Linked DNA regions of Saccharomyces cerevisiae S288C. The gene in region 1 interacts genetically with each later gene. Each region holds a gene or a part of one and is shown in the gene's direction. Other genes may lie near its edges.

Region 1 (8,860 bases):
TATTATTTAGATGCATTTTTCCCAGCTTTAACCTTTTTATTTAAAGGAAATTATAAAAAAAATTTTAAAAAAATGAGTTTTGCGTATCCAATAAATAATAGACAAGATGCTGTCACAACAGTATTAAAATTTCTGAAAGATTCTGCTGTCTCTGGACTGTGTAATACAACAATTCTTCGGAAAACTTGATTCGGAATAAACAATGGTCTTTCATTTATGGAAAATTTTCTTCTTTGTCTCGGTCACTAAAAAAAGCCTTAGCAAAGCTATATAGAAAGAAAATAGTGATATGGTGTATTTGCCGTAAAACTATGGTTTATCCAAGGTCGCCTTCAGTAAACTTTCGGAAATATATTCATCGGAGATATATTATATAATGAGTACATAGCAATCTAATCATGCTGGGTCTTCTTGCACCCCAATGAAACCATAATCATGTAAATGCTTGAAAATTCCGGGCATACTATCCTCTTCCTCAATAACCCAATCGAAGTAGAGTGCTAGTTGTGCACTATGTCCTTGCTGCTCATTAAATAAATTTACTGACAGTTTGGTGGAATTTCTTTGTTCGATCAGATAGTACTGTTAGGTATTTGTTGACATTTACTTCCCTATCACATCAGACCACTGTTTCTCCTTCCTTTTTGCCATCTTCTTACCTATTATATGATAATATAGTTCAAAAGGAAATACCAGTCAATGAATGATAATTGGCTCTTACTCCAACCGTTCTTAATCTGGACCAGTAATTGTTCTTATGGTGAAAAAGTATGGTGACGTCTTTACTTTTAAAAATATTTTTAACAGTTGAAGGAGCTCCCCGTGTACATCTTGCCAGATCTTCAAGAGAAATGTCACCAAATAAATTATGAAATTAAAGTACAGCGGTAGTGATAAAAACGATCATCAAGTAGTGCCATCCGATATTTCGTGTCAATTTCCAAGCTCATGATTTATGACATACAGGATTTTCAAGAATATTAAATCTTGTTCCTGAGGAATTTTTGATAAATCCAATAAATAGTAAATAATAAGAAAAAAGACAGAACAACAACGTTTTGGTGGGAGAAAGGCCACTTCTCTGACCAGACTAGAGTACTAATATTTACGACAAATATACTGAGACCGTGACCAATGGTAGAAGGTGATTGGCTTGAAAGAAATGCCAACATTAAAGCACATATCACTGCTCTTGATATCAGTAGAGTTGCAAAAAAATTATACTACTAAAATCAGCTCAACGGCAAGAAGTTACTAAGCACAGCAGAAATTCTGGAGCTAAAGAGAATAATATACATACAAGACTGACTGAAAACTCTGTTTTCCACATGCAGTGGACTCAAAATATTCAGTTGAAGAAGCAAGCACAAAATTGGATCAACCCGTCGCGTCGCGGCCGCTGCTGCAGGCGACAAATCCACTGGCAAATTGTACGCGGCCTCGTTACTCCTACTTGAAAACAGAAGTAACAACAACAAATTCAAGTTTCTACGAAATGGGTCTCATGACGACAAGGTGCGCCCCCCTATCTACCTTGTTGTAAGTCTGGGACCTGGGGCTAATTTCTCATCCCCGGAAACAAAAGTATACAACTACGTGGCTAAAAATTTTTTAGTATGCAGCACATAGGATGCCAAGGAGCAATTTTTAACCCTGGCAATCTGAGCTACTGAACGGCCGCCTCAGGACTCATAGTTCTCTATATATAATTTCTCCATGTTTCTCCTTGTGCCTGGTGGAAAATATCAAGTAGTTGCCGCGACATAAAATGAATGCCTCGTAGACACCGCGAAGCCGGAATGAAGGCGGACACTACGGCACCGCCTCAAACCCAACGGCCGAGAGCGAGTTCATCTCCCTCATAGATGCGAACGGCATTGGCACTGACGCCATCATTGTAGAACATATAGACAAGATTAAAATGCGTAATCACATCATGAATGGGAAGTTAGGTGCGGTCCACTACCCTGGGGGCCTCACTGGGGACGTCATCACCCCCAAAGCACCTCAATAAGTCCATAAATAAATATATAAAAATTACTGAATAATAATAAAAAAAATAAATTAGTTCAGTCTAAAGAAATGGAAGCAAAAACCTCAAAAAAAAAATTTTTTTACGAAGACTATGCTTCCAAGACTGACGTCTTAGAGGCATAGTCGAGAAGAAAAGGAATTACTGGCACAGAACGACAAGAAATATCGTGTCGGCGCCAAGGCATCTATGTAACTACGTCTTGTGATCACCGGTATAGCTGGGACTATTCCGTTTCATCATATGATCTGGCCGTCTGCGCTTGTACATTCTGGGCGCCAGGCGTAAATGACCAGAGTAATGTCTTGCTGTAGTCGTCCGTCGCCACAGAAGCGCGTGGACGCATGATCGCGCGCAGCGACCGGTCGGTTCGCAAGACGGTTGGCAATAGGAGTTTCCTGCTGACCGCCTTATTAATTTATATGAAAGAGGAGAATTTGTCATCGGGCTTTCGAATGAAATAAAACAGCTCCTTTAAGTAATGGAACTGGAAGAAGGAAGAGAATAAACGACAGAATTTTCGTGCTCGGAGCGAACACCGCGCCGGGTTACGAACAACAGTGGCCACTACTATAATAGTTATGGAGTAGACGTCAGAATATATAGCGCAGGCGTCAGAGTATAGCGCGGGCGTCAGGATATAGTGTGCCAATGTAGCGTGGTTGCATGCAGCTAGCTTTTTAGTTGAGTCAGACCTGCTCCAAAAAAAGAGGAACACAACTTTCGTCAGCATGTGTTGCTACCGCTATTTGTTCTTCGGGGAAAAAAATTTGCATTCGCTATTGTAGTTTTAATTTTCCTTCTCTATTCTCATAAATAGAGTTAAAATCTTATAAACTCCAGAATTATCAAGAACAATTACCTATATTATTTCCTATTGCAGAATTTATATTATTCTTTATTGTACTGATATCCCCATTATAACTATCAAAAAAAGGACTTCAGCACCTGTATCATCATGAGCTTCAGTAGTATAGTCTCTAAGTTTTTGAGATATTTAGAAATTCCTGCCAAAAATAGGACTGCCGTGAATTTTCTGAGGAACCCTGATTTGCAACCTATCAAGTCTGCAAATCAAACATGGGGGTTCTGGTCTAATTTGGCGTACTGGGGCGCTGTGTCCTTTACAGCAGGTACATGGATGAGTGGTTCTGCTGCACTAAGTGTCGGCCTAAGTTACCCAGAGACCATTGTTTCGTTTCTTCTCGGTAATGTCTTGACCATTATTTTCACTATGGCCAACTCTTACCCCGGTTATGATTGGAAAATCGGTTTCACCTTGGCCCAAAGATTCGTTTTTGGCATTTACGGTTCAGCCTTCGGTATCATCATTAGAATTTTGATGAGTATTGTCAATTATGGTTCCAACGCTTGGTTGGGTGGTCTATCTATCAACATGATATTAGATTCCTGGTCCCACCACTATCTGCACCTGCCCAATACTTTGTCCCCAAGTGTTGCCATGACCACCAAGCAGTTGGTCGGCTTCATTATTTTCCACGTCCTCACCGCGCTCTGCTATTTCATGAAACCCTACCATATGAACTACCTTTTAATTTGGTCATGTGTAGCTACTTGCTTTGCCATGCTGGGTATAGTGATTTACTTGACTAAGAATGCCCATGGTGTCGGTGAATTGTTTACCTCCACAAAATCTACCGTTACTGGTTCTAAAAGAGCATGGGCTTGGGTTTACATGATTTCATACTGGTTCGGTTCCATTTCTCCAGGTTCCACCAACCAAAGTGACTATTCAAGATTCGGTTCCTCCAATTTGGCTATCTGGACCGGTAGCGTCTGTGCATTACTAATCCCAGCAACCTTGGTCCCAATCTTCGGTGTCATTAGTGCCTCCACCTGCGACAAATTATACGGTAAACAATTTTGGATGCCCATGGATATATTCGATTATTGGTTGACAAACAACTATTCTGCAGGCGCTCGCGCAGGTGCCTTCTTCTGTGGTCTTTGCTTTACCATGTCTCAAATGTCCTCCACCATCTCCAACTGTGGGTTTGCCACTGGTATGGATATGGCCGGTTTGTTGCCCAAATACGTCGATATCAAGAGAGGTGCTCTTTTTTGCGCATGTATCTCCTGGGCTTGTTTGCCATGGAACTTCTACAACTCTTCTTCTACTTTCTTAACTGTCATGAGTTCTTTCGGTGTTGTCATGACTCCTATTATTGCTGTCATGATCTGTGATAACTTTCTGATCAGGAAGAGGCAATATTCCATTACTAATGCCTTTATTCTAAAGGGTGAATACTATTTTACCAAGGGTGTCAACTGGAGAGCTATCGTTGCCTGGGTGTGTGGTATGGCTCCCGGTCTACCTGGTATCGCTTGGGAAGTCAACAATAACTATTTCCACGACTCAGGTATTGTTAAATTCTTTTATGGTGATTCTTTCTTCTCCTTTTTGATTTCTTTTTTCGTTTACTGGGGGCTATGTGTCTTCTTCCCATTCAAAATTACTGTTAGACATGATGACAAAGATTACTATGGTGCATTTACCGACGAAGAAGCGAGAAAGAAGGGCATGATTCCATACAGTGAAATTTCTGAGGAAGAAATCCGTGCTTACACGTTAGGCGAATGCTACACAACTGGACACGAATACAAACCTGAGAGTTCTGATAACGAATCACCTGAATTGATCAAAACTAGCTCAGAAAACACTAACGTATTTGAAATCGTTCACCAAAAGGATGATGAAAAGCACTCCTTTAGTACCACTCAACAAGTTGTCTGATGACAAAGAATCCGATAAAATGAAGATCTCAAATATACAAAGAGGAAACTTCAACGCTTCATTTGAAAATCTGTACAGATCTTACAATTTGGGAATACTACCAGATCGATCCTCAGCTGCAAATACTTTACTGTCAAGTATGTCTATGGTGACAAATATCGGCATTATTGTGTATGGCTCAATAATTTTATAAAAAAAGGAACTATTGGTTCTTAGTATTTTCTTGCTAGAAGACATATTCTTACCAATCCTTTCATAAGCTAATTATGCCATCCATATAGCAAGAGAATCCGGTGGGGGCGCCATGCCTATCCGGCGGCAACATTATTACTCTGGTATACGGGCGTAACTCCATAATATGCCACCACTTACCTTTAACATGTTCATGGTAGGTACCCCACCCAGCCATAAGGAAATTTTCAAAGGCGTTGGATCAAAAAATAGGCCTTTATTTCATCGCGTGATTGAGGAGCATAACATGTTTAGTGAAGGTTTCTTTTGGAAAACTTCAGTCGCTCATTATTAGAACCAGGGAGGTCCAGGCTTTGCTGGTGGGAGAGAAAGCTTATGAAGCTGGGGTTGCAGATTTGTCGATTGGTCGCCAGTACACAGTTTTAAAAAGTCAGAGAATGTAGAGAAGTATGGATCTTTGAAACCCTTTTATTTTATTTTACTTTTTTTAGAATGACCTGTTCCCGACACTATGTAAGATCTAGCTTTTAACATATTATGGAAACCTGAAATGTAAAATCTGAATTTTTGTATATGTGTTTATATTTGGGTAGTTCTTTTGAGGAAAGCATGCATAGACTTGCTGTACGAACTTTATGTGACTTGTAGTGACGCTGTTTCATGAGACTTTAGCCCTTTGAACATATTATCATATCTCAGCTTGAAATACTATAGATTTACTTTTGCAGCCATTTCTTGGTGCTCCAAGGTTGTGCGTATCTATTACTTAATTTCTGTCCTTGCCAAGTTTTGCAGCAGGGCGGTCACAAGACTCCTCTGCCGTCATTCCTTAGTCCTTCGGGAACACACTTATTTATGTATTTGTATTCTACAATTCTACGGTGCACAAGGGTTGGGCACTGTTGAGCTCAGCACGCAACTATTGCTGGCATGAAGATAAGATTGATTTTTGGAAGAATAAGCTTGTGGAAGTTACCTGTCTCTTATTTTTTTTTCCTTTTTGCACTTTTTTTTGGTGATCACTTAGGTAACAATCTATAACACAGCAGTATGAACCCACTAGTTAACCATTCTGCGCCGATGGTATACCTTTTTCATTGCTTAATTGTCTGTGAGAGGCTTGATAAGCTAAGGCTCATGGCGATAAATCCACGATGAACTCGTTTAATGCAAAATATAGGTCGCGGCTTGCCGGGTACCAAGTCGCAACAAAGCTCCCCGAATTGTTTCGCCCATTCATCTGACAGGACAGAATGCCAAACATATGATGCATGATGCAGCAAAGAGCACAGTAATCACTATTTTCTGCATATCATATAGCCAGATTGCTATAGTGTTTGGCTTTTGTCCTGCTGTTAATTGTTTTGTTTTCTTTCTATTTTTATAACTATTATTGGAGAGTAGATCAAGGATACAAATAACAACAACAACCACCAATACCGACCACTTAATAAAAGTAACCATATAATGGGTGTGAGATCCGCTGCAAAGGAAATGCACGAACGGGACCATAATTCGGACAGTTCCAGTTTAGTAACTTCCCTGATGAAATCTTGGAGGATATCGTCGGCTTCTTCCTCCAAGAAGCCATCGTTATACAAAATGAATACTACTGAATCTACTAGTTTACCCTCGGGTTATGCTTCCTCGGCAGATAGAGATCGGAGAACCAGTGACGGTAATTTTGAAGCTATGGCAAAGCAACAAGCAAGCACTAGACGTACCTCGAATTCCTATTCACCTCTACGATATGTAAACCCCACTCTAAGCACTGCAAGTAACGAAAGTCCCCGGCCTGCTTTACTCTTACGTCAGCATCACCAGCGTCATCACCACCATCAACAACCCCGCCATAGCAGTAGTGGTAGTGTAGGCAACAATTGCAGTAACAGTACAGAGCCTAACAAAAAGGGTGATCGATATTTCAAAGACTTAGATGAGGATTGGAGTGCTGTTATTGACGATTATAATATGCCTATTCCTATACTTACTAACGGTGGATTTGGTACACCTGTAGCTCCAACGAGAACTTTGTCGCGAAAATCCACTTCTTCTTCCATCAATTCGATTTCGAATATGGGGACCTCCGCAGTACGGAATTCTTCCTCCTCTTTTACATACCCTCAATTACCACAGCTGCAAAAAGAGAAAACAAATGATTCCAAGAAAACTCAGTTGGAAATCGAAAACGAACGGGATGTTCAAGAATTAAACTCCATCATCCAGCGCATTTCTAAATTTGACAATATTTTGAAAGATAAGACAATCATAAATCAACAGGATCTGCGCCAGATCAGTTGGAATGGTATCCCAAAAATACACAGGCCTGTTGTTTGGAAATTATTAATAGGTTATTTGCCTGTGAACACCAAGAGACAGGAGGGTTTCTTACAAAGGAAGAGGAAAGAATATAGGGATAGTCTGAAACATACCTTTTCTGACCAGCACTCAAGAGATATCCCAACTTGGCATCAGATAGAGATAGATATACCGAGAACAAATCCCCACATTCCCCTCTACCAGTTCAAATCCGTACAGAACAGTTTACAACGAATACTATATCTTTGGGCAATCAGGCATCCTGCTAGCGGATATGTGCAAGGTATTAATGATTTAGTTACACCATTTTTCGAGACTTTTCTTACCGAATATCTGCCGCCTTCACAAATAGATGATGTAGAGATAAAGGACCCCTCTACTTATATGGTAGATGAACAGATTACAGATTTAGAAGCGGACACGTTTTGGTGTCTTACCAAATTGCTCGAACAAATTACCGATAACTATATTCACGGACAACCAGGCATATTAAGACAAGTGAAGAATTTGAGTCAGCTAGTGAAACGAATTGATGCTGATCTATATAACCATTTTCAAAATGAACATGTGGAGTTTATACAGTTTGCATTCAGATGGATGAATTGCCTTTTGATGAGAGAATTTCAAATGGGTACAGTAATAAGGATGTGGGACACATATTTATCTGAAACTTCACAAGAGGTCACTTCTTCTTATTCTATGTCGTCCAATGACATTAAACCTCCTGTTACTCCAACAGAACCTCGAGTGGCAAGTTTTGTTACACCAACAAAAGATTTCCAATCTCCCACCACAGCTCTTTCTAATATGACACCAAACAATGCTGTTGAAGACAGTGGAAAAATGAGACAGTCTTCGTTGAATGAGTTTCATGTGTTTGTTTGTGCTGCATTCCTCATCAAGTGGAGTGACCAGCTAATGGAAATGGATTTCCAAGAAACTATAACTTTCTTACAGAACCCTCCTACAAAGGACTGGACTGAAACGGATATTGAAATGCTTCTGAGCGAAGCCTTTATTTGGCAATCTCTTTACAAAGATGCTACGTCGCACTGGCTGTAAACGGACCTATTCATTTTACTTACTGTATAGTATGTAATAATATAAAACAAAAATCTCCTAATTCATAAATCCTGAGGAACGTGACACATAAAGTTATTGTATACAGATCATCTAAAGATTGGTTTGGTAGAATGTCTCCCAAAGCTCGATGCATTCTTTTTGAGATTCAATGGCCGCTTCTAGTGATATTTCCATGCCGTTTCGGAATTCCCGAATTTTATCAGTAGAGAAACCTTGGAATTCATCTTTTATTTTATCTCCTACCGCTTGCCATTGTTTTTTTGTAAGGTTATACCTTCTCTCCAATGTTTGAAATTCCTTTCTCATTTCTCTGAATTTTTCTGAATGAATATTTTGACCCAATTTGCCCAATTGTGAGTGTTTCTTATTCATGTCATTTTCTATTACTACCAAGAAATACCCCAATTTGGATCTCTGATTGAAAATTGCTTTTACGCTTGCCAATGACCTAATATAGTCGTCCAGCATCACACCCATCG
Region 2 (7,968 bases), on another chromosome or scaffold:
GTACTAGTATATCTGATGGTGTTGTTGCGAATGCCCAGTAGTTCATATAGTTCTACTTACACCTCACTCATCTAACAAGGTCGGTTGATTAGTTCAATTGTTTCAGTGAGAAGATTTTAACGATAACACTTATGTACTAAGGTAACGTACCTACCAAGCATACAAAATACGTAACAATATAAAAAGAGACGGTTAATAAGTTCCGTTAAAATTTCGTCATCCAGTTATTAGAAAACTGGATGGAACCTTTTTCTTGCACATTAAAAATGGCATTTGTCCTTGTCAGGATTTGGGAATAAGGCTCAGTTAACCTTATTAACTTTTGTGATGTTTTTAACATGACATATTACAGGCGTCAGGATGGGCGAATAATCTAGAAATCGGCAAAAGAAGCTTCGAAAAATTAAGTTTTCAACCCTAAGAGCAGAAAGTAAAAAGAAATAGCGAAGTACAATAGAAACGACAATGACTAAGACCATCACAGTTGCTCATATCCAGTATGATTTTAAAGCTGTTCTGGAAGAAAATGATGAAAATGACGATGAATTTTACATCAATGTTGACAAAAACCTAAATGAAATCAAGGAGCATAAGATAGTAGTGTTAGGAAATAGCAGGGGTGTAGATGCAGGCAAAGGAAATACATTTGAAAAGGTTGGCTCCCACTTATACAAGGCGCGGTTGGATGGACATGATTTTTTATTCAATACTATCATAAGAGATGGTTCAAAGATGCTCAAGAGGGCGGATTATACTGCCGTAGACACAGCTAAACTTCAGATGAGACGGTTCATATTAGGCACTACAGAAGGCGATATTAAAGTATTGGATTCAAATTTCAACCTTCAAAGAGAAATTGACCAAGCTCACGTTAGTGAAATAACAAAACTAAAGTTTTTTCCAAGCGGTGAAGCTTTGATATCTAGTTCACAGGATATGCAATTAAAGATCTGGTCAGTAAAAGACGGCTCAAATCCTCGCACGTTAATTGGACACAGGGCGACAGTCACAGATATTGCCATAATAGACCGAGGAAGGAATGTGCTCTCTGCCTCTTTGGATGGTACAATTCGCCTTTGGGAGTGCGGCACAGGAACGACAATTCACACGTTTAACAGAAAAGAAAACCCGCATGATGGTGTTAACAGCATAGCGCTGTTCGTAGGGACAGACAGACAATTACATGAAATTTCTACTTCCAAGAAAAATAATCTAGAGTTTGGAACATATGGAAAATATGTGATTGCTGGTCACGTTTCTGGTGTTATTACTGTACATAATGTATTTTCCAAAGAGCAAACTATTCAACTCCCAAGCAAGTTCACATGTTCATGTAATTCATTGACAGTCGATGGCAATAATGCAAACTATATTTATGCCGGATATGAAAATGGAATGCTAGCTCAATGGGATCTAAGATCACCGGAATGCCCAGTTGGTGAGTTTTTAATTAATGAAGGCACCCCAATAAACAATGTCTACTTTGCAGCCGGAGCCTTATTTGTATCTTCTGGATTCGACACCAGTATTAAGCTTGACATTATTTCAGACCCAGAAAGTGAACGGCCCGCTATTGAATTTGAGACGCCCACCTTTTTAGTTTCCAATGACGATGAGGTCAGCCAATTCTGTTACGTTTCTGATGATGAATCAAATGGGGAGGTGCTTGAAGTTGGAAAAAACAACTTCTGCGCTTTGTATAACTTAAGTAATCCTTAACCTCTTTCGTACTAGTAACTTTTTCAAAAAAGTTCACTTCGCTGCATGAGCTTGGCGTAATGCGCTTTGAGGGTGATAATGCATTTTATTTCCATATGAAATATGTCTAAAATAGAACAATTCACTAAGAACAAGAAGGCCAAACTAAGCAGAATATGGTAGAGTTGACAATTACGGGTGATGATGATGATATATTGAGTATGTTTTTTGATGAGGAGTTCGTTCCCCATGCATTCGTTGATATACTCTTATCAAATGCCTTAAACGAAGATCAGATTCAAACGCAATCAGTATCCTCATTGCTATTAACCAGGTTGGATTTTTACACAAAGAACCTTACAAAAGAGTTGGAAAGCACCATATGGAATTTGGATAAATTATCTCAAACGTTACCAAGAACTTGGGCATCTTCTAGGTATCACAAAGAAGCAGAACAGAACGATTCCTCATTGTATTCTACTGAATCCTTAAAATCATCGAAGCTTGAATATTACTTAGATACGTTGGCAAGTGCTGTAAGAGCATTAGAAACAGGAATGCATAATGTAACTGAGAAACTAAGCGATCTAGATAACGAAAATAATCGCAATACCAATGTGAGGCAACAACTGCAAAGTTTAATGTTGATTAAGGAGAGAATTGAAAAAGTGGTATATTACCTGGAACAAGTTAGGACCGTTACGAATATTTCGACAGTTAGAGAAAATAATACAACCAGCACGGGGACAGATCTTTCGATAACAGATTTTAGAACATCATTGAAAGCATTAGAGGATACAATCGATGAATCTTTAAGCTCTGCGATTGATAACGAGGCTAAAGATGAAACAAACAAGGATTTGATTGGGAGAATTGATTCACTTTCTGAACTGAAATGTCTGTTTAAAGGCCTAGATAAGTTCTTTGCTGAGTATAGCAACTTTTCGGAGAGCATAAAATCAAAAGCACAAAGTTATTTATCAACCAAGAATATTGACGATGGTATGATATCATAATCGGTGATAAAAACAAAAAATTTGCAATTAACAAAAGAAATTTATAGCATGTTTAAATTCTTATTTCTTTTTACCATTTCCAGTCCTTTTGGTCCACTTGTAATGCATAAAAGGGTAAAAAGGAATTTGTTTAGGAGGACATGCTATTTCAGATAGTTTCTTTTTATTGATTATATAATATAGTGTACAATTTTGAAAATATAACTATTACACACATCTTTTCATTTGGTCACTTACATTTGTATAAACATATAGAGCGCGTCTATTAATAAAAGGCGGTGGACTCTGGACTATCAGATTCCTCCAACAGCGCTTCTTCATCGTCGTGTTTTCCAGTATGGTTTTTTCTGAGGAACTCGAGTCCAAATACGTACTTGAATCTTTGAACGAAAGCAGCCGGAAATACCTTCACTGCTACTTCATCGGGGCAGATTCTCACTAGCACCCCCATGATTAGAGACAACATACCACACAGTACCGCGGTTATCCACATTGATTTGGTTTGTCTGGCAATAGAAAATGGTGCGCCACCAAAAAACATGATTAAAACTTGACAGCTGCCAATGATCGCCATGATCGTGAGAAAATAATAGTTTCTACCCAAGTCTTGGAAGAAATTCAAATTGGCGGCAGAAATCCTGCCTCTCCAGTTTGATATACCATCACCTTCATCTAATTTTCTCGATACTAACATGGTAAAAAATTGCAACCAAACAAAAGTGTTGAATGTCATGGCATTCAGTTGCTGCTGTTGGTGACTTGTTATTTCATCTTCATGTTTCTTGAAGAATAACTCTGGCCCGTAAAAATGCAAAATGAAAGTAACTATCAACTGCAATGTAGCTTGTGATAGAATCATTTTCCAAGTTGACACAGAAATCAAAGAAGTTGAGCGGCCCCTAGGTTTTCTGTCCATGATATTTGGATCGGGTTTATCAGTGGCTAAAGCTAAAGCTGCTAGAGTATCCATGATTAGATTGATCCATAACAGTTGGACCGCCGTCAGTACTGATGTTTCATCACTAGATGCAACGGATGAAACGAACGTTAAAATCACTGCGGTGATATTAACAATTAATTGAAACTGTATGAACTTTTTTATGGAGACTGAAACACATCTTCCCCACTTAATAGCGTTGACAATAGCTGAGAAATCATCAGTCATCAAAATAATGTCAGAAGCCTCTCTGGCAACCTCCGTACCGGAAATACCCATTGAGAAACCAACATCAGCTAGCTTTAAAGCTGGAGCATCGTTCGTACCATCGCCAGTGACCGCAACAACATCTCCCATCCCCTTCAATGTTTCTACTAATAACCTTTTATCCTCAGGCGAAGACCTTGCTAAGACCCTTAAATTTGGCAGGATTCTTATACGTTCGTTTTTCGTTAACTTTCTGAATTCAGTGCCTTCCATTGCAGAATAAGCCTCTGAACTAATATCAGTAGAAAGAATCGCACAATTCCTCGCGATTGCTTTTGCTGTTAATATATTGTCACCAGTAACCATACGCACAGTTACACCAGCACGTTGGCACTGTTGTACTGACTCCCTAACGCCTGCACGTAAAGGGTCTTGAATCCCAAGTAAACCATCTAGAATTAAGCCCTTTTGACTGTTAAATAGCAAGTCAAGAGCAGCTATATTTGGTGAGTCTTTATCACGCAGCTGTTCAGGGGGCCAGCTATCACATTCGCAGAAATCTTTGTGGGCAACACTTATGGCTCTGAGAGCATCGGACGCAAGATTTTTGATTTCATCATCAGTTTCTTTTTTATTGTCCTCATTGATTTCTTCCAAAGTATCATCTGAATTCCTCTTGTACGAACAATTCTTGGAAACAATTTCTGCTGCACCTTTAATGAAAAACCTGTAAAATGGTTTTTTATTTTTGCCTTCTTTGTACTTTACCACTAAGCCGGCCCATTTACGAGAACTTTCAAACGGAATTGTTTGAACAACTTTTTCGATATTAAACTTTTCCATCGGTTGATCTCTCAAATATTGCAATTCTCCCGGTTGTAATCCTAATGATAATCTTGCCAAACTGAGTAAGGCTGTTTCCGTTTTAGAGCCAATAAAGGGTTCTTGCCTACCCTTGTTGACATTTTTGAATAATTGATCCTCGTCATCTTCCCTGTTGCCTTTTTTAAAAAACGATAATCTAGATTTACACTTATCTAAAAAACTCAAATTTTTTGACATATTTTTACTACCATTTGTATTTTTATCGTTTTTCTTATAATCTCTGTTTTCGAAGGCGGTAGAATTCAGGACAATATTGGCTAATAAATCATTTCTCAAGGATGACGAACAATTTTCTTCAAAAACTTTCTTAGAATTCAGCTTCCTTTGTTCGCTAACGGGCAACGATTTACTATCATCAAATTTAGAATTGCCCGGGAAGCCACGAACGACAGTCATGACATTTTCTGTCAAAGTGCCAGTCTTATCAGAGCACACTGCAGTAGCAGATCCCATCGTTTCACAGCTTCTTAAAACCCGTACTAAATTACCGTCTTTTGTCATTCTTGTTGTTGCAAACGCTAAGGCCAAAGTTACAGCTAATGGTAAACCTTCCGGAACAGCCACCACAATAACCGTGATAGATGTGATAAAAATGTTCATAAATTTAGAACCCTTTTGAGCGGGATCTAGATCATGGAACCTGCCATCCTCAGGTATTATGTAAAATAAGTACCTAGTGAAAAGGACCAAGAAAAGAATTATAGCAGACACGCAACCGTAAACGGATATATTATCAGCCAATTGGCTCAAATGTAACTGTAATGGAGTACTTTCAGGTTCGGCATTTAATGAAGTCATGGTTTGACCGTAAACTGAGTTTATACCCACGGACGTGATGACACCCCTGCCCAAGCCAGAGAGAATTCTGGAACCTGAAATCAACATACAATCAGCAATCTTGTTACCGTCTTCGTTAACGTCACCTATATCTAATGGTTTGCTATGGTTATGACTATCGATAGAATTAAATTTTTTGAAATCTCTTAATGAGTTATCCACCGGAAATTTCTGTATTGTGTTAGATTCACCAGTGATGGATGATTCATCTGCCTCACACTTCCCTGATATCATAACACAATCAGCGGGGACAACATCACCGGTTTGTAATGAAATGACATCACCGACTAAAACGTGGTGAATGGAAATTAATATTTCCTGATCATTTCTTATGACTATAATTTTACGGTTTTCCTTCTTTTTATTTAGCTTTGCAAATTGCAACTCCTTCTGGTAATCGTTAGCGGCACTCACTAGAACTACCACAAAGACCGCAATCATGATAGCAACCCCTTCAATCCAGTCAACTTGCTTAATTTTATTTCCTTCAGGATCATACTGTGGAGGTTGCATCCATAGTTCGTATAGACCTAAAACAAAGGAAACAACAGCGGCGACTGTCAGTAATTGCATTGTTTTGTCATTAAAAGCAGCCCATACTAATTGTAAAAAAGACTTTGGTATTCTTTCAGGAAGTGAATTATCGCCATAATTTTTATACCGGTTTGTCTTTCGATAATTTGATATTTCTGGAAGAGAAATGCCTGCATTTTTATCTGTTTTCAAGTATTTGAAGAGGCTGTTAGACTCATATCCAAATAATCTGACAAATGATCTTATTGATTTAGGGTTATGAAGATCCGAAAGTTGACTTTTTGATAATTTGAAATTATCGTAGACTCCGTTCTCATTTCCCGTATACGATGGTTTGTTATTTTCATTATTCGCTAGTAAAGCAGAATTTTCGTCTTGTCTAGACATTATTTTTTTTGTTACGCACACAGTTTTTTTTTTTTTAGAACCACTTTTCTAAACTTTATTTGTTCAAGTTTTATTTCTTTAATTCAATGTCGTATATATGTGATACAATTCTCTTAATACACTTAGTTTTTACTGGAGGCGCATGAGTTTTTTGACGTTTTCTTAAGCCTTTCTATTGAATGAAAATTACCAGAAAAGCCCCTTCTTCCTCAAATTTATGAAAAAATGTTTATTCTTAACCTAAGCCTTCTCAATTGAATCGTGCCAACCTGACTAAAATGTAGTTTGGGGAAGTGAAAAAATCTGAAGAGATTATTTAATTTTTCGTTAAGCCTGCAATTTATTTTGGTAATAATTGCTAGAAAGAAATCGAATATTTAACGCAATTCAAATAAAGCCTTTCCTTGGGGGGGGGCTGATACTATTTGAATGTTTTTGGAAGGCGCCCATTAAATGCAATGCCAAGTGGCGATGATAATGAATTATGAAGATTAGCATTTGTTTAAAAAGCGTGGAGGGCGCTTCTAGGGCCTGAGCCTCCTAATTTTCTTTTCCCCCTGACAAATGATGGAGAAGCTTCTTTGCCGGGTAAAAACCCTTTTTTTTTATCTTTTCTGCGGGCGGATAAAGCTGTTAGTGCCACATGTTTCTATACAAACTGTATTAAAGTAAAAAAATTAATAGACAATTTAGGCCCCTCAAATGGGTAAAATAGAACATATATCAGTATGCACAGCTCACTATTTTAAAAGCGGCAGGCTTGGAGCTGTAGGACCACACTACTGCGACAAAAAAAGATAAAGTTGTGTTTTATTTATGTTTTGCCGTAAGATCGATACTTTTCTTATTCTCATCAAGAAAACACAAACTGCCAAGAACTAAGAAAAGAAGAGCCGTAAACAATGCTTGTAAACCGAAGTATGAAAAGAAAAACTTGATAATTAAATCATCCCCTTTGGCTCAAATATTTATTTTGTATTATTCATGCTTGATTAGTTTAAGAGTGAACTTTACTATCTTAATTTTATTTTAGCCTTTTCAGCTTATGGCACAATAGTGAAAACAAGATCATGTTAAGTTCTGTACCAGAAGAGAGAACCGATAAATAGTTTAATAAGCAGATCAATGCCAAGAATAAGATAAAACAACTATGGAGACTGATGTAAATATACTTGAAGCCGGGCAATAATATAAGCACCGTGAGCCGATTCTCCTCGATCCTACACTGCACCATATAACGAATGGTCTTGGACTATGGAAGGCAGTAACCAACAACAGAAAAGAGAGATTAATTAGAAAAAGACATTTCTCGAGAGAAAAAAAGTAAAGACCTTATCGTACAACTGTTACTGACATTTTTATTTTAAGAAGCTAAACCCTTATTATTAGCGCGCCCAAGTAGGCGCAAAACTAGAGAAGTCGCAGATGCATCCACCCACTTTTTGCCTTATTTTTCCTTAATTTCAG
Region 3 (2,942 bases), on another chromosome or scaffold:
GGAAACAATACAAGTGGAAAAGTCTGTTGATGAAGGTGATGAAGAAGCAGGATTTAAATTTTTGTAATTTAATTTTGCTACGTGTCGAATAAAAGAAAGAGTCAAAGATCTAAGTTTATACTCAGATGAATGCAATCCAATAGAGCAAATCAACGAAATACATTCTGCTTTGGTGGTGGCGAAGTGACTTCTGTTTAATATGGACAGGATTTTTTCTTGCAAGATAGCCTTGACCGGCGGTCTTCCATTTGCTGTGTTGCCGATGTACAGCGTCTGAAGAAAGGTGATGAACTCTTCGTTTTCATAAGGCATGGGAAACCGTTTCATGAACTGAGCCGCATCATCAGATAAATTTGTAGAATCCGTAGAGACAACGCACAAAAATTCCATCAGTTCAATCATCCTAGGTGACTGCTCAATAGTTTGGGTAGCCGCCATGCCACGGCAAACAAATTGAAAAATAGCCTTTTTGAACTTATTCAGCTGTTCTTTGTTGAAAGTAACGCCCGCATCATAAGTAAAGAATGCCACATCAGTTAGAGATAGGCCCGGACATGTGTAACCTCTCGACAGGGGCTGTTGAGAAACCTGGACTTGCTTTGAAGGTACCAGCAGAAAAAACCTGGTAAATTGGCGCATCAAAAACGAAAAACCGTCGTTGTCCAGTTGAAGGAACTGAACAAATTCTTCCTGCTCATGTGAAGACTCCTGGGGTGCAACCCATTCCAAAATAAGCTTCAAAAGGATGTGGAACATTCTGGCGGCTACTGTGCCTGTTAGACACGAGATGTTCGAAACGACTAACGGTAGCAACTGCTGTCTATCTTGCAAGGAAAGCCTATCTATGCCTTTAGACGCCAGTAGCAGACTGTAAAGGCGGACATTGGTCGAGTCTTGTTGAGCGGCTAAATTGGGTTCCTTTGCTTGGACAATAAGCGCCCTCACAGGAAGCTGAACCTGGGGCAGCGTATTTATCCTAGAAATGAGGTTTTTTAAGGCTGAAAATACTGCTGTTCTAACGGAGGCATGTGGAGAGGCGAGTTTTAGTAATAATGGAGGCAAAAAAGTCTGCAGATTAGTTTCGAACTTTTGAGGGGAATCTGCGATAGCCAGGCGCAATTCTGCCTTCTCCACGAGCTGTTTTTCTTTCGCTTCGTCAGAAGAAATGGACATAATGTTGTTCGTGGTGAAATAGAAACTTTTCTATAATTATTGTATTATCCAATCCTGCACAAAGACAAAGAGATCAGTTATCGAGAGCTTACCAGCTTCTTTATATCAGGAAGTACCTTTTTTTTGCCACCAAGAAAAGGCATATGGATATACCGGGTAACACATAAATACCAAAACTCTGGCGGCTAAACTGGTAAAACCTGATATATACAAAGATCAAATAAGTATAAAAGCTTTCAAAGATGCTTATGAAAAATCTCACGAGATTGGTAGTTACTGATCAGGCACAAACTCCGCAGCCAAAACAATATTTTGAAAATATGTGAGCATTCAGCAAGAGACCTTCAACTGCTCCGAATGTGCATTTCACAGCAATGCAACAAAAGTCAATGACACTTGCAAACCCAGTGTAAGACGCCTACTCTTGTTCAATCAGTTAGTTATCTTTGTTCAATAGTGTGGTTGGTAACCAAATTTTCTAGGCGTTGTTGAAAATAAAGAGAACGAAAAACAAAAAAAAAGAGATAAAAAGACAAGGAAAAAATAAACTAACTAGACACAGGGAAAAGCCCAATTCCAGACAAGCAACCACACCACATGAGCTCACAACCGTCTTTCGTCACCATAAGGGGCAAGGCCATTTCTCTAGAAACACAAACGGAGTCACTTCTTTCCAAGTACTCCACATTCGCGCAGACAACTAGTTCAGAACAAACTGGCCAAGAAAAGAAGATAGACAAGCAGTTGGAGGGAATCTTAGGCCAGAGACAGGATGTAATCGATTCATTAACACAAATCTGCGATTCTAACCCGGCAATCTCCGCCTCAAAGCTTTCCCAACTGCACCGCCACAAGGAGATCTTACAAGACCACTGGAAGAGCTTCCGCAATATCAGGTCCTCCATCCAGCAAGAGCGCAACAGACTAAACTTGTTATTCAGCGTGAAGAACGATATTGCTAATTCCACAACGGACGCGCCAGCTCCTATAGGGGATGCTGACGAGTACATTCAGAACGAAACAAGGCGAATCGATCAGTCCAACAACGTAGTCGACCGTCTCATCTCCCAAGCCTGGGAGACTCGGTCGCAGTTCCACTCGCAGAGCAACGTGCTGAACACGGCAAACAACAAGGTGTTGCAAACTTTACAAAGAATACCAGGTGTCAATCAGCTTATTATGAAGATTAACACGAGAAGGAAGAAAAACGCGTTTGTATTGGCCACGATAACCACCCTTTGTATACTGTTTTTGTTTTTCACATGGTAAATAACGACTTTTATTAAACAACGTATGTAAAAACATAACAAGAATCTACCCATACAGGCCATTTCGTAATTCTTCTCTTCTAATTGGAGTAAAACCATCAATTAAAGGGTGTGGAGTAGCATAGTGAGGGGCTGACTGCATTGACAAAAAAATTGAAAAAAAAAAAAGGAAAAGGAAAGGAAAAAAAGACAGCCAAGACTTTTAGAACGGATAAGGTGTAATAAAATGTGGGGGGATGCCTGTTCTCGAACCATATAAAATATACCATGTGGTTTGAGTTGTGGCCGGAACTATACAAATAGTTATATGTTTCCCTCTCTCTTCCGACTTGTAGTATTCTCCAAACGTTACATATTCCGATCAAGCCAGCGCCTTTACACTAGTTTAAAACAAGAACAGAGCCGTATGTCCAAAATAATGGAAGATTTACGAAGTGACTACGTCCCGCTTATCGCCAGTATTGATGTAGGAACGACCTCATCCAGATGCATTCTGTTCAA
Region 4 (7,880 bases), on another chromosome or scaffold:
TTTCTGCGGGATCTCATTTTCCCAGTACGACTGCAAGATACCCGCGTTCTGAATAGACTCAGCCAACGAATGCTTCTGCAGGATAGTTAGAGAAAGTTTCCCCTCAAGCGTGTTCAGCAAGTCGTACTTCCTTATGTATCCATCGCTACCGCCCAAAAACAGGTACTTGAGACCCCTGGACACGGCCAACGCATTGACGTGCGTCTGGATGGGTATGGCTGCCGTGGGGTAGATATTGTACGAATCCGCAATCTGTGCGGCATTCAACATGTGCTTATAGTACTCATAAACCTCTCCATTAGCAGAGGCTTCGTGTGTAGAGGAAGATGCTTCCCTGGACCCCACTCCTCCATCAACATCGCTCAATTTCACATCCTCGGATCCAATCTTAGTAACAGCATCGCCACTATCGCCTGCACCGCCAGCACCAGCAGCAGCAGCCTTTTGCTCATCATGCTGGTGCTCATTCGTCGGTGTAGCAGTCTTATCCATTCTTGCGGCGTCGTCCTCACCATCGTCGTCCTCCTGTTCATCGTCGTCCTCTCGTTCGTCCTCGTCATCATCATCGTCCTCATCATCATCATCGTCATCCTCTTCATCTTCACCACCGTCATCATTCCCCTCGAGGTCCTGCTTTGAGTCGTTTTCCAGCCCACTCAGCATCTCTTCGTCATCCTCCTCGTCATCCACCACCTGGTTGTTAATTAGAATATCGTCAACCTCGTCCATTACGTAAAAGAAGAAAAAAAAAAAAACTGAGCCTTTAGTACACTACAGTTACTGCTACAGCCTTTTACAGCCCAGCATCTGGCACCACTACGCTATAATATATGATGCGTCTATTATGCTAGAATCCTTCCTGAAAGGGCATTCTGGAAGCCCTACGTACAGAGTGACAATATATTAGGGCATCCATAAAAATAGATTAGGGCAGCTCTGCCATTTTTTTCATAGCCGAAAGAAGAAAAACTGAAAAAAAAAATGATACGAAAAAACCGCGAAACGACGCCTTTTGTTGCGATTGTCGGGCATCGCAAGTTACGACGCGTTGTCCCTTGCATCGCTGCCGTGTGGCACGACCCACTGCGGCCTAAACGACCGAGATCGGTGCCCGGGGCAGACCACCCGAAAACTCCCGGGCATTATTTCGGTCGTTTAGTTGCGCCCCAGGGCAACCGGGGTGTATACGAGGCCGATGGCTGCGATAAACGAAAAATTCAGGCTCGTATAAGTGGCACAATAGAAGGTGAAGAAGAACAGCAGGTGCATTGAAACAAGAGGTTCAGCAGCGATCGGGTATTGTTGTTGCTGCTATTATGTAACGGTCGAAAGAAACATCGCGGTATATATTAGAGGCGGATTTCTATCTTTCTTATCAATTCGTTTTTTCATTCACTTGTTCATTCATTCTTTACATTTGTCTTGTTCTTTGAAGTGGTTGCAGAGGAGGTCAGTTTGTTGCATTTGTAAAAAAAGATAATAAGAAAAATATTCGTCTAGATTTGAGATATGGATTTGGTCTTAGAAGTCGCTGACCATTATGTCTTAGACGACTTGTACGCTAAAGTTCTGCCCGCTTCGTTGGCAGCTAATATTCCTGTCAAGTGGCAGAAATTGCTAGGGTTGAACAGTGGGTTCAGCAATTCTACGATTTTGCAGGAGACTTTGAACTCCAAGAATGCCGTCAAAGAATGTAGAAGGTTCTACGGGCAGGTGCCATTCCTGTTTGATATGTCGACGACGTCTTTTGCATCGCTATTGCCTCGTTCCAGCATCTTGAGAGAATTCCTCTCACTATGGGTTATTGTTACGATCTTTGGTTTACTACTTTACTTATTCACGGCTAGTCTCAGCTACGTGTTTGTGTTTGACAAGTCGATTTTCAACCATCCTCGTTACTTGAAAAACCAAATGGCAATGGAAATCAAGTTGGCAGTCAGTGCTATCCCATGGATGTCGATGTTGACCGTTCCATGGTTTGTTATGGAATTGAACGGCCATTCTAAACTATACATGAAGATTGATTATGAAAACCACGGTGTAAGGAAGCTCATTATCGAGTACTTCACTTTCATCTTTTTCACTGATTGCGGTGTGTATTTAGCGCACAGATGGTTGCATTGGCCAAGGGTCTACCGTGCTCTGCACAAGCCTCATCACAAGTGGCTGGTCTGCACACCTTTCGCATCTCATTCTTTCCATCCTGTAGACGGGTTTTTGCAATCCATCTCGTACCACATCTACCCATTGATTCTGCCATTACACAAGGTTTCTTATTTGATTCTGTTCACTTTTGTTAACTTTTGGACTGTTATGATTCATGACGGTCAATACCTATCAAACAATCCTGCCGTCAACGGTACTGCCTGCCACACGGTTCACCATCTATATTTCAACTACAACTACGGTCAATTCACCACTCTGTGGGACAGACTAGGGGGTTCTTACCGTAGACCAGATGACTCATTGTTTGATCCTAAGTTAAGAGATGCTAAGGAGACCTGGGACGCTCAAGTTAAGGAAGTTGAACATTTCATCAAGGAGGTCGAAGGTGATGATAATGATAGAATCTATGAAAACGACCCAAATACCAAGAAGAACAACTGAATACGGTTGCCTTGTTTGTCTCATCTTTTTTCTTTCTTTCACGTTCAAGAACTTTCACACAACGAATAACGTTTATATATTTATATACACATACATGTTTTAAGATACGCATATCATTATGATGTACACCTCACGTTAGTGCAATATGCGCTATTCGTATATTAAATTTTTGCGTTCATTTAATGGCTCTTTTTCCTATTCTAGTGAAAAAAAAAACAGAAAATCGAAGAGCTGGAAAATTTAAGAACAGGCAAATAGGAAGCTGGAAGCTTTAAAATGCCCAAGATTTCGGTGAAGCGCAAGTGTTAACTAGAAAAAGGCCGCCACTACTCTATAAGCAAAACCTTATGTCCATAGCGCGATTAGTATACTCTCTTTTCAGAAGAGTACGATCGGTTCTCTTACTTTTCATTACCATATCGCTATTGTTTTACTATACGTTCCAGAATGAAATCGATATCTTGAATTCGTACGCTTTAAACGACTCACTACCGTCCATAAACAACTATGAGCACAATACAGAAGGTTCTTCGAAACTGGATCCTCCAGACCTATCGTCAACCGGTTCTGACCGAATAGCCACCGACAAGGAAAATGGCAACGTTGCAGTGGATTTGTCAGATCCAGCTACATTGAGAGAAAAAAACAAGTACTTTCCCTTGCTGTTAAAGGGATCGTCTCACCAGATTGGTTCGAATTTACCAATTTCGTCTCTTTTGACATATAAGGAAAAGTATCCCGTCTTGTTCGAATACTCATCACCTTCCTTAACTTCTATAAGCCAGAATGACGTTCATAAGATACAGCCGGCAATGCAATTGCCACCAGATGTTGATATGATAAAACAGATAAAGGACATTTTCATGAAATCATGGAACCAAGAGCAGTTGCTGCTGAAAAGTAACCTCAGAAGGGAATCTACTTGGCCCATAGATCTAATTGATTCTCTAGATACATTGTATCTATGTGGCGAGACGAAACTTTTTCAAGATTCTGTTAATATAATAGAAGATTTTGACTTTCGAGTACCTCCGTTAGCAATGGAAGTTATTGATATTCCTGACATCACTACCCGTGTCCTAGAAGGGTTACTGTCTGCATACGAATTATCTATGGATAAACGATTACTTAACAAAGCAAAACATGTTGCAGATTTCATATTAAGATCATTTGATACCCCTAATAGAATTCCTATTTTGAAATATTTTTGGAAATCTGATCTGAGAAATCGATTTCCAGACCGTACTGTTCCATCAGGTCAATTGACTACTATGGCACTCGCGTTTATCAGATTGTCACAGTTAACCCGTTTGAATAAGTATTTTGATGCTGTTGAAAGAGTTTTCACCACTATACGTCAATCATATAACGAATTTGATATGGAGTTTATGCTGCCTGACGTCGTTGATGCCTCTGGTTGCCAGTTATTAACTCAAGAGGAAATTGAGAATGGTGCACACCTAAAGGGATCCAGCATCATGAAAAGTATCAATGAAAATTTCAAGTTCGTACACTGTCAGCAGTTAGGGAAATTCTTAAATCCTCCAATAGATGATAATAGCCTCCAAGAACAATCTCAATACCAGGCTTATAGAATTAATGAAAAAACAGTACCCATTCTAGAAAATCTATTCAAAATCAATGACCTCTTCCAATCTTCTTATGATATCCTGGACGGCTCAAGTAAAAATGCTAATGCTGCAACGATGGACCCCAGTATTGGTTCAGAGGTAGAAGCAGTCGACGAAATAATTGAGAAAAGAAACTTTAAAGACGGTACTAAAAAAGATTCGACAAAAAACACCGTAGGTGATAAATCATTAATAGACTCGCAAACGTTTTTAACAAATTCCATCAGTAACATTTTTAAATTCATGACTTTTCGACCCATGTTGCCCAAGCAAACGGAAAACAAAAAGTTTAATTTTCTGAATTCCATTCTAACAAAATCTCAATTCATGCCCACGACTAATGAGCTAGATGTCACGATAAGAAAATCTTACGATGTCTCGTTATACTCATGCAGACTTGGCGGCATTCTAGGTTTAAGTTCACGTGTTCCCCACCGAGGCGGTGTCAACACGAAATATATTTTACCATCGTCACTATTGGAAATGAGCGAAATAATAACAGAAAGTTGTTTTATGCTAATGGAGGAGTTCGACGGGCTGCTCCCTCAAAAATTCGAGTTGGACCCTTGCACTGATGAGACTAATGGGAATTGCGAGTTTAACGGCGAAACTAAATCACGAATGATTGCCAACGGCGAATATGAAACTTTTGAAAATGACCTAGATGTCGGGATCAAAGTTTCGAATTATGGGAAAGGTGGGAATGACCAGAAAGCTAAGAGAAATGTACTAAGCAAAGATGGGATAACAGAGACTCAAAACATAAAAGGTGATACTGTTGGAAGCTCGAAATCGATTGCTGAAATAGACGGCGACGAAGTAACGCAAATACGTAGAGTTTTTACGCTTGGTAAGGATATCAAACCGCATATTACAACGGACGATACCATGGGTTCTCAGTGGAAAAACCATCCAGACTGGCCATTTTGGGTCAACAAGGTAGAATCCAGAAGATTGTTGGATTCGAATATCATTGAATCTATATTTTATATGTACAGAATCAGTGGAGAACAAAAATGGAGAAGCATGGGTAAGCAGTCTTTTGGAATCTTAATGCAAGAATTAATGGAACTAAACAGTGGTGCCAAAGGATTGTGGCAAATAAAGGAATTTTATGAAAACGGTGAAAAAGTGAACAATGATTTACCTAGCTATTGGTTCTCCAGAACATTAAAATACTATTTGCTACTATTCAGCGATGGTGACAAGGTTTCCCTGGACAAACACATCTTAACTCAAGGAGGGCACATAATCAAAAAGAAATGAAGTTAACGTTAGAAAAATCGTACGCACATACATACATACATATAGGTACATATATACATAATGAGAAGAGGAGAAAATGAATACTTATACAGTAATGTTTATTTTTTTGGGATTAAGTGTCGTTGTGGTGATTTCTTTACACAGCCAATGGGTATTCGCCAGCCCAGTCGTAAATTTCCTTTTTCCAGGTGTTCAAAACATCAGAGCCTTCGTCGACCTTGGCTTTGAAGTCCTTTAATCTACAAGCATCCTTTGGCAAGCTTTGTTGAACTTGTTGAGCGAATTCTACAGCCTTGTTAATGTATTGAACAATTCTGTGGAAATCTTCTTCACCCATTCCTCTAGTGGTCATGGCTGGAGCCCCAATACGGACACCACCTGGAACCAAAGCAGATTTGTCACCTGGAATAGAGTTTTTGTTCAAAGCAATGTTAATCTTTTCACAAATGTATTCAACACGAGCACCATCAACACCCTTTTCTCTCAAGGATACTAGAACCATGTGAGAATCGGTACCGTTGGAAACTAATCTGTAGCCCAAGTTCTTAAATTCACTTTCCAAAGCCTTAGCATTCTTCAAGACTTGAGTTTGGTATTCCTTGAATTCTGGAGTGGCAGCTTGCTTCAAAGCAGTGGCCAAAGCAGCAATGGTATGGTTGTGTGGACCACCTTGGTGACCTGGGAAAACAGAGAAGTTAATTGGGTTTTCCAAGTCGTATAGAACTTCCTTACCGGTCTTAGGGTTGATAGATCTCACACCTCTTCTGAAGAAAATCATAGCACCACGTGGACCTCTCAAAGACTTGTGAGTGGTGGTGGTAACGATATCAGCGTATTCGAAAGGAGATGGGATGACACCTGCGGCGATCAAACCAGAAATGTGGGCCATGTCTACCATCAAGTAAGCACCACATTTGTCGGCGATTTCTCTCATTCTCTTGTAGTCAATTAAACGACAGTATGCTGAAGTACCAGCAACAAGAACCTTTGGTCTATATAGGATGGCGTTCTTTTCTAAAGTATCGTAGTCGATAATACCGGTTTCTGGGTTAACTCTGTATGGGAAAGATTCGAAGTATGTGGAAACAGCAGAAATTTTTCTGTTTTCAGTAGCGTAACCGTGAGACAAATGACCACCATCTGGTAGGTATAGACCCATCAATCTTTCATGAGGCTTCATAATAGCTTGATAAACCTGCAAGTTAGCAGGAGAACCAGATAAAGTTTGGACGTTAACACCCCATTTGTCTGGAGTAACATGGAAAGCTTTCAAAGCTCTTTGTTGACATAGAATTTCCATTCTGTCAATGTGTTCATTACCACCGTAGTAACGAGCACCTGGATAACCTTCAGAGTATTTGTTGGACAATGGAGTTCCAAGGGCATCGAAAACGGAGGTTGAGGTGAAATTTTCAGAAGCAATCAAATCGATGGAGTGCTTTTGTCTTTCAATTTCATCCTTGATAATGGAGTCCACTTCAGGGTCGGTGTCCACCAAATGAGAGGTGATCAACTTATGATGAGCGTCGGATAGAGTGTAAGGCATGTTAAGGAGGATTCGGTTTAAGCTGTTATGCTTTGCTATGGGGTAGTATCTTTCGTAAAGGTTACACTAGAAGAAGGAAAGATTACTGAACGCAAACTAAGGGAAGCAAGTTCTGCATTATATATAAAACAAGATGAAGAAGACTCATGGTTCGGTCTAAGATGATTATGAATTTAAAAATTATACAGAGTAAAAAGCGAACATGAGAAACCCAAGAGATAGAGTCAAACCTTTATGGTCAAAGCAACCTGAAAGGGTCATTTCTCACCAGGAGTCATGTTTCGTGTGTGAAATATTTGAAAAATTTCACTTCTTTTTTCTTTTTTTTTTTCTACATTAAAAATCGGTGCGTTGTCTTTTCAAAGATGAGGTAGATGAAGATGGTGACTCCGGCTGTTCAGATCCGATTGACTCGACCGACTCTGTTTCCTGTGGTGGCTTCAAGTAGTTGTCCATGTACCATTGCAATTGAGCTATGCTCTCTTTGATATCACTATAAGCAGTGTGGGCAGCTTCTTTTTTTGGATTACGTGCTTGTAAAGCGGGATTGTGTCTGCGGGCAACTTCCATGATGCTACTGACGTCAACTATTCTGTAAAAGAGATGATCAATGACCTTGGGAAACTCGCGGACCATGAACAAGCGGTCCATATGTACACTATTGCCTGCCAAGACGCCAACGTTCTTGTCTGGGATGTAGCGCTGGATGTACTCGAGCAGCTCATCTTCTACCTGGGCCAAAGTCTTCTCACTTGCCAAAACTTTGGCGGTGAGACCGCTATTACCGTGGTGCTCAATACACCACTCGTTCATTTTGTTCATCACCTCGG

Evidence for each region.
Region 2: mutations in GYP1 (region 1) and COG7 together harm fitness more than expected from each alone (negative genetic interaction), as found in Saccharomyces cerevisiae (6 studies listed by BioGRID, with this or other methods).
Region 3: mutations in GYP1 (region 1) and GOS1 together harm fitness more than expected from each alone (negative genetic interaction), as found in Saccharomyces cerevisiae (6 studies listed by BioGRID, with this or other methods).
Region 4: mutations in GYP1 (region 1) and ERG3 together harm fitness more than expected from each alone (negative genetic interaction), as found in Saccharomyces cerevisiae (5 studies listed by BioGRID).

Annotation. Positions count from the first base shown.
Region 1 is NC_001147.6:455,407-464,266, reverse strand, and holds GYP1 (GTPase-activating protein GYP1), read left to right. Parts: upstream 1-6,446; coding exon 6,447-8,360; downstream 8,361-8,860. Other genes in the region: YOR072W (uncharacterized protein), read right to left, coding at 2,451-2,765; NRT1 (nicotinamide riboside transporter), read left to right, coding at 2,991-4,787; VPS5 (sorting nexin 1), read right to left, coding at 8,472-8,860. UniProt on the Saccharomyces cerevisiae protein: GTPase-activating protein (GAP) that stimulates specifically the intrinsic GTPase activity of Ypt/Rab-type GTPases YPT1 and YPT7. Functions on the Golgi as a negative regulator of YPT1. Functions on the vacuole as a negative regulator of YPT7.
Region 2 is NC_001139.9:484,454-492,421, reverse strand, and holds COG7 (Golgi transport complex subunit COG7), read left to right. Parts: upstream 1-1,874; coding exon 1,875-2,714; downstream 2,715-7,968. Other genes in the region: RPN14 (Rpn14p), read left to right, coding at 466-1,719; calcium-transporting ATPase PMC1, read right to left, coding at 2,980-6,501; YGL006W-A (uncharacterized protein), read right to left, coding at 6,889-6,999. UniProt on the Saccharomyces cerevisiae protein: Acts as a component of the peripheral membrane COG complex that is involved in intra-Golgi protein trafficking.
Region 3 is NC_001140.6:38,315-41,256, reverse strand, and holds GOS1 (Gos1p), read left to right. Parts: upstream 1-1,770; coding exon 1,771-2,442; downstream 2,443-2,942. Other genes in the region: ECM29 (Ecm29p), read right to left, coding at 1-1,173; GUT1 (glycerol kinase), read left to right, coding at 2,749-2,942. UniProt on the Saccharomyces cerevisiae protein: Involved in transport from the ER to the Golgi apparatus as well as in intra-Golgi transport. It belongs to a super-family of proteins called t-SNAREs or soluble NSF (N-ethylmaleimide-sensitive factor) attachment protein receptor.
Region 4 is NC_001144.5:252,352-260,231, forward strand, and holds ERG3 (C-5 sterol desaturase), read left to right. Parts: upstream 1-1,509; coding exon 1,510-2,607; downstream 2,608-7,880. Other genes in the region: SAGA complex subunit SPT8, read right to left, coding at 1-729; putative mannosidase MNL2, read left to right, coding at 2,955-5,504; glycine hydroxymethyltransferase SHM2, read right to left, coding at 5,641-7,050; REX2 (Rex2p), read right to left, coding at 7,387-7,880. UniProt on the Saccharomyces cerevisiae protein: C-5 sterol desaturase; part of the third module of ergosterol biosynthesis pathway that includes the late steps of the pathway. ERG3 catalyzes the introduction of a C-5 double bond in the B ring to produce 5-dehydroepisterol.